Linked DNA regions of Arabidopsis thaliana. The protein of the gene in region 1 interacts with the protein of each later gene in a pairwise test. Each region holds a gene or a part of one and is shown in the gene's direction. Other genes may lie near its edges.

Region 1 (5,897 bases):
AATCATTGTCTGTGCTAATAAGAGTTATAAATGGTTTCAAAAAACCCTTTTTAAACATAGATTATGTTGTTTTCCTCTGCCATTAAACTTAGACGCATCTTAATTACTAACTCAAAAACAAACCCCTCTCGCTCTCTCTCTTTATATATATCTATAATTATATGACCTTACCGATATTTACTTATAGTTTAGTTACTACTAAGTTTGATATGAGACAAGAACATGTCTCTTGAGATATCTTCTTCCTAGCTTCTACTGTGATGTATCTGGATTCTCGATCACCAGCATACCTATCTACCCTGCAACAAAGCAGAAACAAAATCCAACTACTTAAGCACAAACCTCAACAAGATCAAGCAATGTAATATCATAACAACGTTACCATATATCCATGAAAATGATAAGTTTCAATTAGGGAGATGACTTCACCTTTTTCCTTCACCAAAAGACTCCTTTGCATCGATCATCACTGCAAATGGAATACAATCGCTGTTACGGGTTTTGTATCATTAAAGCAGCAGTACCATTAGGTTACGTAAAGCTAACATAGAATGAAACTTCATAAAATCTGTAATAGCACCTAAAGGTCTAGACTTTCATCCATTTCATACTATCTACAGATCAATGTAGCTAAAGGGCAGGTTGATCCAAGCTTTCATCGAGCAAGTAAGTGGACTGATCAAAGCTAACCTTAGCCGGAGAAGTGGCTACTCTGAAGCAATCAGCATTCATCCCAACGAGACCCAATCCAGGGAAAATGACCTACAATGGCAGACATTGAATTGCCTAAGAAAATGGAGACACTAAAAAAACGTAGTCATTGTTTTGAATTCTCTGTGAGGCAATTCGTCGAACACCTGGTGACTTACATCGAGATGTTTCTGCATAGCTTTTGCCCTCTTCCTTGGCCGGCGAGATGACCTGTTCCCACTCATGCTGAACAAATCTTCTTCGATCTCGTCTCGAGCTAGAGCAACCCAAAGCCTATGATTCTCGTTTGCAACCTCACCACCGCCTAATCCGGGTGATTCCGCCGGGATTCCTCTCTGCCTGTTCGATTTCGGCTCAATTCCTGCGCCTGATTTCTGATTCTTCACCTCCGAACCTCCTCCTCCGCCGCCACCGCAAACCTCCGCCGTGAACACGCCGTTTCCTTTCTTCGAACCACCATAAGCCTTCCTCGGACGAAGATTCCACGTCCTCTTCGCTTCCTCCTCCTCCGTTTCTTCTCTCTCCTTCACCGACACCGGCACTTCCTCTCTCGCGGGAGAAATCTCATCGGATTTCAGCTTCTTCAGGTTATCGTGCTCTGATGAGGGAGCAAAGGAGGAGAAAGAGAGACGCGGCTGACGACTTGACCGTGACGCCACGACACGGTTAGAAACAGCCACCGTCTCCGCCGATTGAGAAGCAGACCTCTCCGACTTGGAATTCGCAGACATTGGTATGAGATTATACCAAAACGTATTCACCTGAGAGATGATCAAAAACCCTAGAAGGTAAAAAGCAGAGAGGAGAGAGAGAGATGTAGGAGATTTACGGAAGCTGATGCATGCGTAAGTTTCTAATTATGTTTTTATTCATGGGGTGTTATTGGTTTATGATTTCAAAAGACTTTTAGTGTTTTAAAGTGTTATTTAGAATTTATTGTTATTCGATCACGATTTGTTAAAAGTATGTTATATTTTGTTGGCTAAAATAAATCATTAGTTAATTATTTTATATCCTGATATATCAACATCAATTATCATCCTTCTGATATGGGGATTAATATATGTTAACAATAAATCCAGAAAATTACGTTTAGATTTAGACATATAAATAAAGAGATCTTAAAGAAAAGAAGAGAAAAAAAAGAACCCGTAAAAAGCTTAAAAGACTACAACTGCTTAAGTCTATCAATGATGATCAATATATTCATGTAAGTGCTAAATAGGTTAATTTCTCTAGTGAATTCGATTTTGGACTAAAAATCAACAAATATTAGATCATCTAGTGAATTCGATTTCTCTAGGCCATCAAAGAATATTATTAGTTAGGTCCAAAGACCTAAATTTATTTTTGTGTATAAATTTAATAAAATAGAAATTTACATTTTGATATTTTTAATATTATTTTGGTGACAAAATATTTAGAAATTTTTTATATTTTTAAATATTCTTTTATTTTCATATATTTTTTATTTTATTTTACAAAAATTTAAAAAGAATAAAAATAAAAATAAGTTCATAAATATTAATTAGCAAGATATCTAATCTCCATTGCTTGTTTAAAATGTTATGTGGACGCGCAAATAGCTTCGTATAGATTATGTTACAAAAAGATTTCTAAAATTAACTATGTTTAAGTTCGTATTATTTTAGTTAAGGCCCATCAGAGAATATTAGTTAGGCCCAAAACAGTGACACTCACCGTTTTGGCATCTTCTACACATGAGCAAAACTAGACGCAACGCAATGATGGCGACTAAAACCTCAGAGCAAAAAACATGAACAACTTCTTCAATCCCAGTAGACCAAGCCCACGTCCATGGCCAAACAGGAAGAAGCAAACCGACAAATCTGCGATATTTCTTTGCTCCGTTTCTATACTTGTTGTGTTCTTCATCGTCGTCTTCTTCATCACTTACTCCGAGATGCCCAAGTCCTTGTTCTCAATCTCTGCATTTTCTGGATCCGTTCAATTCCCTCAGTGCAGATCCGAGATACTAACCCGAACTCTTCTAGGTCAGAAGTTTCTCTGGTACGCTCCTCACAGTGGATTCAGTAATCAGCTATCGGAATTTAAGAATGCGCTTCTTATGGCGGGAATTCTTAATCGGACCCTAATTATTCCTCCGATTCTGGATCATCACGCCGTTGCTCTCGGTAGTTGTCCTAAATTTAGGGTTTTGAGTCCCAGCGAGATACGAATCTCAGTTTGGAATCATTCAATTGAGCTTCTTAAGACTGACAGGTACAAAATCTCTTTTTTTTTTCGTAATGAGTTTTAGTAATTTGATCAATGTGGGTGACAAATGTTGGTGTTTATAGGTACGTTTCGATGGCTGATATTGTAGACATTTCGTCGCTGGTATCTTCTTCGGCTGTTCGAGTCATTGATTTTAGGTACTTTGCATCACTACAGTGTGGTGTTGACTTGGAGACTCTATGCACTGATGATTTAGCTGAACAGTCTCAGGCTTATGAGTCACTGAAACAGTGTGGCTATTTGTTATCTGGAGTTCGTGGTAATGTAGATAAATGTTTGTATGCTGTGGATGAAGATTGTAGAACCACTGTTTGGACTTATAAAAATGGAGAAGCTGATGGGAGATTAGATTCGTTCCAGCCTGATGAGAAGCTCAAGAAGAAAAAGAAATTGTCCAACGTGAGAAGGCGAAGAGATGTGTATAAGACTCTTGGACATGGTACAGAAGCTGAGTCTGCAGCTATTCTAGCATTTGGGAGCCTCTTCACAGCTCCATACAAAGGCTCAGAGCTGTATATCGATATCCATAAATCTCCAAAGATAAAATCTTTGGTTGAGAAGGTCGATTTCCTTCCTTTTGTTCGAGAGATAATGATCGCGGGAAAGAAATTTGCTTCAGAAACCATAAAGGCGCCGTTTCTTTGTGCACAACTTAGATTACTAGATGGCCAGTTCAAGAATCATCGGGAGAGCACTTTTACGGGTTTATATCAGAAGTTGGAAGCTTTGAGCGTTAAGAATCCTGGTCTAATTAATGTGTTTGTAATGACAGACCTTCCTGAATTTAACTGGACCGGAACTTACTTGGGTGATTTGTCTAAGAACTCTACAAATTTCAAGCTCCACTTTATAGGGGAACAAGATGAATTCTTAGCGCGAACAGAGCATGAACTTGATTCAGCGAGTCACGGCCAGAAATTTGGGTCTATTCCGATGAGTCTTGATAGTATAAAAAAGATGCAGACCCATTGTTACCCTCATGGAGGATCCAATGTGCAGCTTTACATAGAGGAAGCTGTTTGTAGCTGTGCTTCACTGGGTTTTGTTGGTACTCCAGGGTCTACAATAGCTGATAGTGTAGAGATGATGAGGAAATACAATGCGTGTAGTAGTAGTTGAACTCAGACTGCATTTCTATTGGATTCATCTGGTGGATGAGCCAATGTGTAGTGATTTTATTAAGTTTTGCCGGTCTTTGTATAGAGATGGATAGAGATAGATGATAGATCTGTCATCTGTCTCCACTTGAAGTTATTGGTGATGAAAACAGGCTCTTAAATTGTTTTGTGTTGTTAAGTTATTTGGGAAACTATCTAAGTTTCTTATTAATAGATGAAGCTACTTGGTTCCTTTCTGATTATTCACACACAACAATGGAAGAGTAAAGGTTGCGTGGGATGGTTGCTTAGTAAAGGTTTTGTGAGTTCTGTAGATGTCTCTAGTGGTCGACAAGATTTGTAATTGTTGTACCAATGTCTTTAAACCGGCTATTGAATAAGAAATTTTGTACCAAATAAATCTAGTGAAAGAGGGTTGGTTGAGAAGAAATGTAATTATATTAAACCGGAAATGAAATTTTACGTCGATGTGTATTTTGTGACCAATGAGATCTCTCCACGTAAACAGATTCCACGTGCAGCTTCAGGCCGATTTAAGCGAATTTAATCTGTCGTTTTGTTGGGTTCCCGTCGGTGACATCCACCGCGAACATTTCGACCGGAGTTTTGAGAGAGCTCAGAGTGTTTCGAGTGTGTTATTTGGATCTGCGATCTGATCGTCTCGCATCGACGTGAAAGGTTTTCTAATCCAATTGGTTCTGTGGAAATTTGGATTCGGAGGTTTTTGTTTGGAAGATCTTTCTGCGGTTTTCACCGCCATGGCTGCTCCGTTTTTCTCTACTCCATTTCAGCCTTATGTCTATCAGGTTTGTCTTCTATCTTCGTTCTCTTCTCGCCTCTTAGATTCGTATTCTTGTCTGTCACTATCGAGAAGGCTAGTGTTCGAATATACTTCTTCGCGAGTATTTTAGGATCCTTTCTCATGTAGGTGTTGAGTAATGTGATGTGTACTTACATCTAATTCAGTGATAATGCTAATAAGCTATTTCCTGGGTGAGAAATTGATCTCTTGAATGTGTCTGTGGGAGTATGAATCTCACAAGTGGTTATATGATGCAGAGTCAAGAAGATACGATCACACCTTTCCAAATTTTGGGTGGTGAAGCACAGGTTGTTCAGGTAGGTCGACATTTTATTTTGTAGTCTGGGCATTTTGTGTTTATGTGATTGACATATATACTCAAGCATTTGATTGTTTTTTTGACAGATAATGTTAAAACCACAAGAGAAGGTCATTGCTAAGCCTGGTAATTTCCATATTATGATTCCTCATTAAGTTTTGTAAGATCTGTTGGGTTGGATTGTATATGTTAACTGATTATATATGGTTCTTTAGGTTCAATGTGCTACATGTCTGGGTCCATTGAGATGGATAATACTTATACCCCTGAACAAGAAGTTGGAGTTGTACAATGGATTTTAGGAAAGAGTGTTAGTAGTATAGTTCTTCGTAACACTGGGCAAAACGATGGATTTGTTGGTATCGCTGCACCTTCTTTGGCAAGGATTCTCCCAGTTAGTGGTTCTTACTTGCCATGATTTCCTTCCGTAGTATTTAGTATCTTGCTTGATATAAGTATATCTCCTTATCTCGTTCTTATGTGTTTTGGTGACCTTTGGCTTGTTTCTTTCCGTGAAGCTTGATTTGGCAATGTTTGGTGGGGACATCTTATGCCAGGTAGAGCCGTCAATCTTTAGCTGCTTGGCTCTCAGCTTTTTCCTCCTCATTCAATGATGTGACTTTTTCTTGTTGTTGTGTAGCCAGATGCATTTCTCTGTTCTGTCCATGATGTGAAGGTCGTAAACACT
Region 2 (3,885 bases), on another chromosome or scaffold:
ACCAAGATGTTGACATGCCAAACTTAGCTCCTGAATAACCCCTCGACGTTCATCATCTCCCCCTTTCAGCCGAGAAACATCGATAGTGGGTACGATTCCGGAATTTGAGTCACATGGTTTGCTAGAAGGCGGGACGACGTAACAGTCAGGTACATACGGTAAACTCCTCTCTTGTGCAGAATTCCCCATTTTGAATGTGCTTGAATCCTCACCTTTCTCCATTATTGGTATTTGAATTTGAGTGTTGAGAAATCGGTTAATATTGTGAAGGGATAACTAAAATGAAAGTGTGAGTGGCTCCTCTATATATAAGGTTTGTAGGCTTGTAGTCGTTTATTGATATTTCGGAGTTATATATTAAAATATGACGGTCGAATACTAAATTATTATTCTTCCTTTTTGGAATATCTAGAGCATGTGTAACTGTCAATTGTTTATCGTGTACCAATAAGAAACTAAACTTTATTATCAAAATGATAATATAATGAACATCCATATGTTGTACGAAATGTATAAGAATGTCCAAATTCATATATGACGAGGGATATTAATAAGATGTTGGGATATAGTAGGAAGTAGGAACACTAACATGGATTTAATTTTTAAATGGAGACTTCGATCTCATTCATAGTCCCAACTACTAAAAAACAAAAAGAAGCTTTCCGCAAAAAAGCATCCTCTTGTCCGGATTTCAAGCCTTCATAAATATGTTGGACACATATGTGAATGCATGTACAGATAAATTCGATATATATGTCGTTTGAGTTGTAACAATTCTGTAAAAATAATAATGAAATTGTTATATACGGTCATGCGTAAGGTCTAGGTAAAATGTATTGCGCCGGGTTCCTTCATGCAATGGGCATTTATCTTCCTTTGGGAAAGACAAAAAAATGTCTGATGTCACATTGTCACTGACATTAAAATGAGAATTTTCAATCATAATTTAACACAACTAGCAATTAAGAAATAATATTACATCGATTTTTCATCGAAATACAACTACCTAGCTTCTAGTGATATACAGTATTAGTACTATTTTTCGTTGGGTATATTAGTTAATTTATAAATACGTAATACGTAAATAAAAGTTGCAAACAAAATGTTCATCCTAGAAATTATATTTTAGGACAAAAAGAATTGTTTTCTTGTACATGTTTTAAAAATTCGACTATATTTTAACTTTTTATCCCAAAAGGCTAAACCATATATCTAGTATAATTTTTCGATCATACATGTTCTAGTTCTGATGCTCCAACAACTATAAAAAGTGTTACAAGGGAAATTCTCTGGACGCATATTATTAGGTAGGTTTGGTAAAGAGAAACACTCAGGATTAGTCGAGGAGTTATGGTTCAACACCCCTTCAATGCCAATTCCAAGCCCTCTGCAAGTATTTTCGAGAAAAGGAAAAGTACATAACAACTAATATCACCATTCCACAAGATCATATATAAATACAAGCATTATTTACTGGCCATTAAAATCTTCCCTATATTTGTATGTTGTGCAATCAAGAACAAAAAATAAATATGAATTACTGCTTCAATATCTCCATCAAGATTTAACCATTTTAGGGTTGTGGACTTTAACTAACAGCATATGAATCATATGAATTGTGAAACACGAAAAATTTGTTAAGAACAAAAAAAAGGCTATAGGGAACAAAGCAGATCATATATGTTGTGGTGGTTGTGAAGTTAGGTTATCCACCAATGAGCAACCTTAACCTATGCCTTATATAAAAACATATATATTTCCATAATTCCATTCACACATATGCATATAGACAACTATAGCAATACAAGAAAATTAAACGCAATTTATTGAGAAAATACAAACAGCGTGCACTATGAAGAAGACGTCGAAGATACAATTTCTTTTCAATCTCTGCATCATATTTGGGGTTGTAGTAATAAGAAGATGTAACGCAACGACATACTTTGTAGGAGACAGCTCCGGTTGGGACATAAGCTCCGATCTCGAGTCTTGGACTTCAGGCAAGCGATTCTCTCCTGGTGATGTTCTAAGTAAGTATCTTTGATCATGTTGGCTTCATCCAACTATATATATACTACATAATTAAAAACTCAAATTAATTTACAGTTTCCCTTAATGAACTAATTAGTCTAATTAATTATGTGTATAATGTTTTTGCAAGTGTTCCAATACTCATCGACGCATAGTGTATACGAAGTGGCTAAAGACAACTACCAAAATTGCAACACAACAGATGCGATCCGGACGTTCACAAACGGGAACACGACCGTTGCTCTTTCCAAACCGGGAAACCGGTTCTTTGTATGCGGTAATAGGCTCCATTGCTTCGCCGGTATGAGGTTACTAGTCAATGTTGAAGGCAATGGCCCATCTCAGGCTCCCGTGGGATCTCCCCAAGCCGCCACTTCAGGGATTCTTCAACCATCTTCTAAAAAGAATAACCCTGCGACCGGAGTCGCTAGCTCAGCCGCCCGTTTTGTTGGCGACAGCGGTTGGAGGGGTACCATGGGAATTTTTGTATATTTTATGGTTTTTGCTTTTCCATTCATATGGTTTTGCTGATTAAAAACTATCTATAATAAGTGTTTTCATGTATATGTGTATTCATATTTGCCCTATAATGAGTGAGAGTATTTATTTGTTGAATTTCTTTATTTTTGTTTGAGTTCATGACCAAATTAAAACCTAAATTTTTGGTTCGTTATACAAATTTCGTTTTGTTTGCTCAGCAAATTTCTTACAAAAATGACATGTAAACAACGTTATGCTTAAAGTTATTAATCAATCAATGTATAATAAAAAAAAAGGAATTAGATTCTTTGACTACATTGAATTTGTATTTGTTCGATTCGATAGCGGAAAATTCAAAAAATAACCGATATCGGTTTATATTTTAGGTAATTTTATCTGGTTCGGTGTAGTAAATTCACCGTTTGACCGTATCTATATCACAGATGATTCACTGCGATTAAAAGTTGTGGTTATCACTATCTAATCGTGATCGCTACCAAAACGCAAACGCTAGTTACCGGAAGACACGTCTTGAGTTTCGCAGCATCTCTCTCCTCTCCTCTGTTCATATCTCTCTTTAGAAATTTCTCAATGAACATACTCAACAGATTGGGTTTGGGATCAAGTGGGCAAACCAATATGGATCCTTCTCCGATCGCTCAGGGAAATGACGATGACACACCGGCGCCGGGGAATCAGTTTGCCCAATTCGGAGCTGGATGTTTCTGGGGTGTCGAGCTGGCGTTTCAGAGAGTCCCAGGGGTGACTCAGACCGAGGCTGGATACACCCAAGGGACCGTAGACAATCCTTCATACGGAGATGTTTGTTCTGGTACCACAGGCCATTCGGAGGTTGTTAGGGTTCAATATGATCTTAACGATTGCACCTATGAGTCTCTGCTTGATTTGTTCTGGTCTAGGCATGATCCCACCACTTTGAATCGCCAGGTATTTTTGGATCCAAGAGTTGAAAGTTTTAACCTTTCAAGTTCGGGGATTGAGAAAGATTCTGTCTTTAGGATTATTGAATCTATTGGGATGTGCCTGAGTCTGTTGTGCTTTGGGGATTTCTTGATTTTTCTCAAATCTGATAGCTTTCTGATTTTCATCACCAGTCTTTACTTTGAAACTTTTTAAATTTGGAACCTTGATCATCTAAGTAGAATATGAGGAAGGAAATGATATTGAATCTTGATTTTTGTTGAATTATGAGGCTTGAGTTGGTAACTTTGGTCGTTGATCTTAGTATGATCCAGATTATGTAGTAGCTCTGTAATCTCTCCCCTGTTGCTCCCTTTTTAATTGAGGTAGAGATACGGATTTCAGAGAGGTTCTTCTTGTTCTGTTCATGATCATTGATTAGCATTGGATTTC

The links. Proteins that work in one complex are often made in the same cells at the same time.
Region 2: the proteins of AT4G17430 (region 1) and AT5G07475 interact in a protein complementation assay, tested with the Arabidopsis thaliana proteins (one large-scale study listed by BioGRID).

What each region holds. Positions count from the first base shown.
Region 1 is NC_003075.7:9,723,393-9,729,289, reverse strand, and holds AT4G17430 (O-fucosyltransferase family protein), read left to right. Parts: upstream 1-2,455; 5' UTR 2,456-2,488; coding exon 2,489-2,955; intron 2,956-3,032; coding exon 3,033-4,089; 3' UTR 4,090-4,580; downstream 4,581-5,897. Other genes in the region: AT4G17440 (chromogranin (DUF1639)), read right to left, coding at 631-762, 870-1,442; AT4G17420 (Tryptophan RNA-binding attenuator protein-like protein), read left to right, coding at 4,847-4,894, 5,148-5,207, 5,296-5,335, 5,425-5,603, 5,728-5,766, 5,850-5,897.
Region 2 is NC_003076.8:2,363,504-2,367,388, reverse strand, and holds AT5G07475 (Cupredoxin superfamily protein), read left to right. Parts: upstream 1-1,783; 5' UTR 1,784-1,852; coding exon 1,853-2,030; intron 2,031-2,161; coding exon 2,162-2,562; 3' UTR 2,563-2,683; downstream 2,684-3,885. Other genes in the region: KUOX1 (KAR-UP oxidoreductase 1), read right to left, coding at 1-222; PMSR3 (peptidemethionine sulfoxide reductase 3), read left to right, coding at 3,103-3,459.